Linked DNA regions of Canis lupus familiaris. Each later gene encodes a partner of the first gene's protein in a complex. Links are inferred from orthologs where the notes say so. Each region holds a gene or a part of one and is shown in the gene's direction. Other genes may lie near its edges.

The links.
Region 2: the proteins of POLA1 (region 1) and PRIM1 are in contact, whole or in part, in a cryo-EM structure (PDB 7OPL), measured with the Homo sapiens proteins. The link is inferred for Canis lupus familiaris from reciprocal best matches to the Homo sapiens genes POLA1 and PRIM1. Residues at the interface, in NP_058633.2 of Homo sapiens: Tyr439, Ala440, Pro447, Glu448, Lys449, Ser450, Phe876, Thr877, Thr878, Gln880, Leu906; in NP_000937.1 of Homo sapiens: Asn92, Thr93, Val94, Lys95, Leu96, Gly97, Ala98.

Annotation. Positions count from the first base shown.
Region 1 is NC_049260.1:20,309,826-20,314,085, forward strand, and holds the start of POLA1 (DNA polymerase alpha catalytic subunit), read left to right. Parts: upstream 1-1,432; 5' UTR 1,433-1,548; coding exon 1,549-1,591; intron 1,592-4,260. UniProt on the Homo sapiens protein: Catalytic subunit of the DNA polymerase alpha complex (also known as the alpha DNA polymerase-primase complex) which plays an essential role in the initiation of DNA synthesis.
Region 2 is NC_049231.1:1,320,743-1,324,562, reverse strand, and holds part of PRIM1 (DNA primase small subunit), read left to right. Parts: intron 1-676; coding exon 677-783; intron 784-854; coding exon 855-928; intron 929-2,324; coding exon 2,325-2,461; intron 2,462-2,859; coding exon 2,860-2,918; intron 2,919-3,820. UniProt on the Homo sapiens protein: Catalytic subunit of the DNA primase complex and component of the DNA polymerase alpha complex (also known as the alpha DNA polymerase-primase complex - primosome/replisome) which play an essential role in the initiation of DNA synthesis.

The DNA of each region.
Region 1 (4,260 bases):
GCATTTAGACTTAGTAGCATCTATGTCGGTTGAAAGCACTCATTGTATTTAAAGATATTGATAGACCTCCTGGTGTAGGAATAGCTTCCAGGAGTATTCCTACCCCACTGTGCTCATTTGGAGTTTTGACCTGAATGTGCAGGGCCAGAAGTGATAAAATATGAAAGTGTCCTACGGGTCCTGGCTCCTGGAAGTATGTGGGTCATGAAAGAGAAACAAGATCTGAAATACTTAGAGTTCTAAGGTGGCATGTGGAAAATTATCAGACATGTGAAGTTGTAAAGGAAAGATTTGGTTCATAAATATGTGCCTACCCAAAACAGTTCTCTCCTGTTAGGAATAAACTTGATAATATCAAAGTTGCAACAATTTCTTTAAAGAGAAAGTATAGGCATAGACGTGTGCTTTAAACAGTGAGTGGATCTAAGTGCGAGTCACTATGTATTTGTCATGTATCACAACATATGGATCATATCTTAACATGATATTGTGTTATAGAGCTGAAAGAAAAATTTCTAAACAATCAGAAATTAAGAAACAAACATCGATCAACCACGCTGGAAGGCAGACTGAATTTTTTATACCCTTTTTAGAGAAAATGATATTATAAAATTGTCACATGAGGAAGAGATCAACAAGTATGTTGGCAAAAATGTAGGAAAAGATATTACAGGTGTGTGGAAGGCACATGTATAAAAATGTTATACCTAAAAAAGAAAATGGGACACATACATTATGTGCATTGTACCGTATACAAGAACCTAATGCCTTTTTTGTCTTTCATCACACTGACATTTTGCAAGAACCCCAGATATTTTGTAGACCGTCCTATGCTTTGAATACATCTGATTGTTTCTTCATGGTTAGATTCAGGTTAAGCATTTTTTGTAAGAAGGTTATATGGGTGATGTCGTTCCCTTTTCCAAGTGCATCACGTCAGGAGGCATATGATTGCCCCATGTGCTTTTTTTGGTCATTTGGGTATGACAGTGCTTTATATATATACATATATATATTTATAGTACACATATCCATAAATCACACAGCGACTGTGTTCACACGCTAAGAAGCAAAGTTATCAGGCAAGACTCAGAGCGCGCAGCAGGAGGCAGTCGCTTTCCCAAGGCTCTGGGGAAACGGTCCAACCACGCCCATCCTACTACCCGCCCGCGTCTTTTTTCTCAGAGAATGAACTCTCAGAACCAGAAAGCCCCTATCCCAACGTGCCCAAGTCTTTTCCCATCAGCGTGGGTGCGCCTGCGCAGCGAGCTTCCCCGCGGCTCCTTTCCAGCGCCCGGCCGCTTCTTTTTGCTGCTCTCCTCGGCCTCCCCTCCACTCGAGCTTTTCCCTAAGGGGTCATAACAGGGCGCCAAACCGGCGTCCGCGGGAAGGCCGGGGGCGGGGCGCGGCGCGGCGCGGCACGTCAGTGGCCTTCCGGGCGGAAGTCCGCAGCCTCTGGAGCCTCTGATTGGCTTTCAGCCTGGCGCCTGTCTCGGCCCCCGCGCCAGTTTCGGGCTGCTTGGCGCGGAATCGGGAGCCTGCAGGACCATGGCGCTGGTACACGGCGAAGACTGCGACCTGGGGTCGAGCGGTGAGGGATGAGCCCGCGTGCGGGGTTCGGGGTTGGGAATACAGGGGCCGTGGCGTGATTGCGGGTGGTGAGGGCTCTGGAGAGGTCTTTTTAATTTGGGGTGGGGGGCGCTCGTCTGGTTCGCCTGACGGGTCCTTTTGGGCGCGGACCTTGGTAGTCCCGGGCTGGGACTCACTTGTGTCGGGTGGGGCTTCCTCGCAGGGCCGTTTGCTCCTGGCAAACCAGAGCGCATCCCTTGCAGGGCCTGTGTCAGAGTTGCTCTCCGCACGAGTCCGCATTTTCTTTTTATTTCTTTTGGCCAGTGCGTTCCACGTGCTGGGCACACCTGCATCAGACTGACCCCGATGGGGCACAGTCTTGGTTCAAAGTATCTAACAACTCTTAGTTCAAAGTATCTACCTGAGGGCTACAACGAACGAATGTGAGCTCTTTCTATGAAAACTCTCAGGGAAATGTTTATACACTTTAACTCAGCAGGAGAGAAAGTCTAAGGGCTGTCACCAGAAAATACAAATGTGCCTTGTCTTAGGTAATGGGTTTTTACTTCATGCATTAACAATTTTTTTCTCTCAAATTCTATGGAAAGTTCTTCCGAGTGCTGCATAGAAGTAGTGTTCACAATCTAGTCATCTTTGGTGAAGTTACCCCCCCCCCCCCGAAAAAAATCGAATCAGCTCAGCAGCATTTGGAATGCCCTGTATATGACTCCGTTTTCAGTAGTAATCTTTTATTTCCAAAAATAGAATACAAAAATGTAAATGGCTTTGATTTCTGATTTTTGGACTATGTTCAAGTAAAGTGTGACTTAACTTCAGTGAATGTCTGGTTTAAATTCAGATGCTTCACTTTCTTAGTTCAGGGTACATCTCCTGTCACCCAGATACATCTCCATTAATGAGAACTTGCCTTCTAATCAGTTTCCTTTGCATTCACCTAGTTGTGAATCACAGATACCAATTTGCTCCAGCCTTTCGTTTTTAAGACAATTTGTTTTGGAGAGTCGTCAACCCTGGATTACAAATGGGATGTAGGTTGTGAGTATATGAACAGTCTCTGCAGCTCTCCATCAGTGATTTGCCACTAGGGTTTCTTTCTTCACCATAAAAACTGTACGTCATCTGTGAACATCAAGAAATCACTCTTTGGAAGATGCTGTGTAATCTTGAGTCCCCTCTTAAGTCATGGTGTTGATTAAGTAGTTGCTAGAGACTTGTGACTGGAATTTTTCCCTTAGAGCAGAAAGATTGTTACCTGAAAGACTTGCATGCTAGTGTCTGCTTTGGGGGAGAATGGGGGTACTTCAGATGGTAATTTTGAACTGAATATTTAAAGTTTTGTAATGGATTTTTTCATGCCTTTTTGTTGTTGTTAACTTATCTACACGAAGCATTGGACACATTCCAAGAAGGAAATTCTAGGTCTTTTTTCCTCTTAAGTATTAGAAGGTGGGGTACCTTGACAATGGCAGTGAAAAGTTGAAAGGTCTGTAACTACCTATTATTACATATAAAAAGGGATCAGGGAGAGTTTAATGATTTTTAAAAAGCAAGTATAGTGGTTTATTCATTTGTTCATTCAGCAAATATTTACTATGTACCTGCTAGGTATAGGCATTAAATGGTAGGTAAGCTGGACATAGTCTTGTCTTCCTGGAGTTGAGATGGTAAAGAGCTAATTGCATGTGGTGCTATATTGAGGCTTCTCTGAGAAAACCACTTACCTTTATTTTTGCTTTCTAAAGCTAGACCATGGTACTTCTGGGTGTGTTGTGTGCGCGCTAAGTGTGTGTGTGTGTGTCTGCCCTACGTCTGTACACACATACACAAACATGAAATGAGATCCTATATTGCTGATACAAAATAAGCCAAGGTCCTTCATTTAATCCTTAACAACTTTATGAAGCAGACACAATTATCCCCATTTCACAGATGAGAATCCTGAGGCTCTGCATTACAGTGAGTCCTTTGGTCTAACCCACAAGAGCCAACTCTAGCTGATGTAAATAGAAAAAGAGGAATTTAAGTATTTTAGGGATTAGAAGGATACTGTGGTGGTCACAGAAACTCCAGGTGGACTTGAGAATCACTTTGGGGGGCTGCTTAGCCAGGAATGGTAATTAAAGTTGTGCCACAGGGGATCCCTGGGTGGCGCAGCGGTTTGGCACCTGCCTTTGGCCCAGGGCGCGATCCTGGAGACCCGGGACCGAATCCCACGTCAGGCTCCCGGTGCATGGATCCTGCTTCTTCCTCTGCCTGTGTCTCTGCCTCTCTCTCTCTCTCTCTCTCTCGGACTATCATAAATAAATAAAAATAAAAAAAATAAAAAATAAAGTTGTGCCACAGAACTGGTCTAGTGAGGAGGTCATTGTCAGCCATGGCCAAGTACTTGATGTTATAGTTTGTATCTTGGGACATTGCTGGCTGAGTGACCCCAAGTAATCCTCTTGCAGCTGTTGCTATTTCTAGAATCTTCCATTAGCCCATCCACTTTCCTTCTGACACTAGCTTCTGATTTAAAGTCTGAGCAGGTATTCCTACTTGATAGAGCCTGTTTTATATGTTCATGCCCTCGCTACAAGCGTATGTGGGAAAGAGCATCTGCTTTTTCAACTTCTCTAGTGGGACTTGGGCTCTGCATCCCATCAAGGTTTATAAGGAGGGGATTTCACA
Region 2 (3,820 bases), on another chromosome or scaffold:
TCTCCTCTCTGGAACTTTTTGATTTTTAAAAAGATTTTTTCCTCTGGTCCTTTTTAAAAAGATTTATGCCTTTCTTAAGAAAACCTTTACTATCATTTTTGTGCAGGTTTGGAAAGACCAAGATAGGTATCTGTAGCCTACTTTCTATACCTGGTGGCCCATAGCCAGGTATAGAGTAGCCAGGAGGCTACTTACAGCTTGAGCCAAAGGCTCAGTTCAAACTAATTGAGATCTTTTGAATTATTGAAATATTTTAAATACATTTTTATTACTTATATGTCCAATAATAATTAAAGGTCTTTAAGACAGCTTGCAATAGGGCATTATTTGTATGTGCTTTTCCTAATCAGAAACCTAAAAAAGCTTTATTATGATCTCTTACTGATTAATAAATATTTATTATTCAAGGTTACATGTCAATTATATCAGTAGAACTAGAAAAAATATCTATGGTAATATATATTTATCAAAACCTGTTTTAGGTAGATGAAATTTACACTCATCAATTCTGGATGCATAGAATCCGAATTAATGAATTTTAACTGATAGAGAGTTGGCATTATAGTATGGTTTCTTCATTGCTCTTCGGCCACTTTTTTTTGTGTGTGGTTAGAAAATAGCATAATTGGCAGCATGACAGCTCTTATAGAAAATGATTGATATTTTCTACTTGTAGCCCAATCAACACAATACAGTAAAGCTGGGAGCTTTCCAGGCTCAGGAAAAAGAACTGGTGTTTGACATTGACATGACAGACTATGACGATGTGAGGAGATGTTGTAGGTAAGTGCCGCATGCCTTGCTGGTAGGGTGGGTGATATCACTGACAATGAGTAATGATTCCTCTGCTCCAGTTCTGCAGACATATGTTCTAAGTGCTGGACCCTCATGACGATGGCCATACGCATAATCGACCGAGCACTGAAGGGCAAGTATTGGCAGTGGGGTCAAATGCAATAATCTGTTTTCCTGTGAATATTTATCTGTCTATACCATTTTATAATCAAATCTCATAGATTTCTAACATGTTTCCTTGAAACATATGGCCGGAAAATAAGAGATTTTTAGAATAAAGTTGTAGTTGAAACTCTAATAAAGCTATTGATCAAACCAGTGAGTTTTTTCCCAATTCAGTCATCTGTCGAGCAGCTGTATGTGCTACAAACTGTCCTAGATGAGGGAAATATGAAAGATGATGATTACCTCAAGTAGGTTATACAGTCTAGGAAGGAGACAAAATTGAGGATTACATTTATGTTAAGTAATACACACAGGGTGCCCTGGAGATATAGAACAGCAGGAGTACATACAGGAATGGAAAGAGACTGCATCAGAAAAGGTAATGACAGGGGCAACTGAATAGCTCAGTGATTGAGCATCTACTTTTGGCTCAGGTCATGATCCCAGGGTCCTGGGATCTAGTCCCGCATCAGCTCTCTACAGGGAGCCTGCCTCTCCATCTGCCTATGTCTCTGCCTCTCTCTCTCTCTCTCTCTGTGTGTGTCTCATGAATAAATAAATAAAATCTTTAAAAAAGAAAAAAATGAAAAGGTGATGATAATAATGTTAAAAATAGCTAACTCTCAGCACACCTGGGTAGCTCAGTTGGTTAAACCTCTAACTCTTGATTTCAGCCCAGGTCATGATCTCAGGGTCCTGGGATCTAGCCCCACGTTGGGCTTCGTGCTGGGTGTGGAGCCGGCTTAGGATTCTCTGTCCCTCTGCCCCTCCCTGCCCCTGTACACACATGCTCTCTCTCTCTCCGAAAAAATAAATAAATAAATAAGCTAACTCTATATAGGCTGTGTATCGTGTACAGGCACTGTTCTAAACACTTTAAATTTATTAACTTTTTTAATGTCCCTAGACAGGGTTTTTTTGTTTTGTTTTGTTTTAAGATTTTATTTATTTGAGAGAGAACACAAGTGGGGGTCGGGGCAGAGGGAGAAGAAAAAGTAGACTCCCTGCTGAGCAGGGAGCCTGATGCTGGGCTCAATCCTAGGACCCTAGGATCATGACCTGAGCCGAATGCAATCACTTAACACACTAAGCCAACCAGGCGTCCCCCTAGACATGGTCTTAAATGATAAATGGCAATTGGTCAAGGAGAAAAATGGAAATGCTGGAGTGTGAAGAAATTCTTGGCAGAGAGAGGAGACCACGATACGTATAGACATGAAGGCAAGACCATAGACACAGGAAACTACATGTAATTTAGTATAGTTAAGGTGAGTACATGTGAATAAGAGGTAAAAATGAAACCAAGGAAGTAAGCAAGAACCAGTTTATTTATAGATTTTAAAACGTATTTCTCCCCTCCTCAGAGGACTTTGGATTTAAGCATCGTCTCTGGGTATATTCTGGAAGGAGAGGTGTTCATTGTTGGGTCTGTGATGAATCAGTTAGAAAATTGTCCTCTGCAGTACGTTCTGGGATAGTTGAGTATTTGAGTCTTGTAAAGGTAAGATCTCAATGATATTTTACATTTTTTTGTTTGCCAGATATTTCCAAGCCTGAAATGTTTAGTGAAAAAAATGAAACTATCTTTTATATGCATATTCCAGAGTAGATGATCTTACCAGCAGATCAAATAATCATAGTAGCTACATTTTCTAAGATCTTTCATATTTTACTGTAAATATCCTCCTTTGTAACAAAAGGAAAAAATTGCTTTTCTAGTTCAATTATATCAAGTGAAGTTAACCCAGAAAGTTACAGGTATTGAAACTATATAAAATAGCATGTAAATTTTTGTATTTTGACAATTTAATCATATCTGTAGAACACATTAAAGAAATTTTTTTAGTATTTCATTTGTGTCATATATATGAAGTTCTTTTTTGATGGTTTATTTTTCAGGGTGGTCAGGACGTTAAAAAGAAAGTCCACCTAAGTGAAAAAATTCACCCTTTTGTCAGGTCTGTTGGGAAAGACTCCATGCAGTTCTTGTCTGATTTACCTAACATGCTTTTACAGTTACACTATTACCAATTTTCTCTATTGGGGTAGCATTTTATAGATAATAATAGCAAGAGTTAATTGAATGGCTGTTTTATGCTGCAGTATGCATGACATGCTTTACAAATGTTCTCATTGCCCTTAACAACAACTTCATGAGGGACATGGGGATATCTCCATTTATAGATGAAGAAAGTGGGATTTAGACAGATTATATAATTTGTTTGGCACCACACAAGTAATTGTTAAATTCAGGATTCATGTCTTGGTCTGCCTAATTTCAAAACTCATAGTCTTTCCACTAAATTCATTACTTCTCTAGGTGAAAAGAGCATCGTATTAAGAGTAAGAATCTCTATTCTGTGGCTTTCTAAGACCATGATAAAATATTAGAGCCTCTATTTCCATATATATATATGTTGGGGAAAATAACATTTGCTCCATGTATCTCAGAGTTGTGGCACAGATTAAATAAACAATAGGTGTGACGTCTATTTGCAAATTGCTAAGCACTACATAATTGTTGAGGTGTTAAAGCAAGTACCTCAGTAGAAACTATTCTGTTTCTCAGTGGAAGCTATTCAGATTCTGTCCCATACTCTGCTACTGATGTATTATTATGTTGTCCTGGCCTGGTTGCTTTCTACCTTATTACATATTTATGATGCTATTAACCTTCTAATTTGTGGAGTTTTAGAAGTAAACATTTCTTGAATCTATTCTAAGCCAGGTACTGTACCAGGTTGTTCCCCCTTAGAATGTCTTAGTTAGCTCTTATGATCCTGTGAAGGTGTATTATCCCCACGTTACATAGCTAATTTCTGTTTGTATTTTTCTTATTAGACTAGTATATACTCATTAA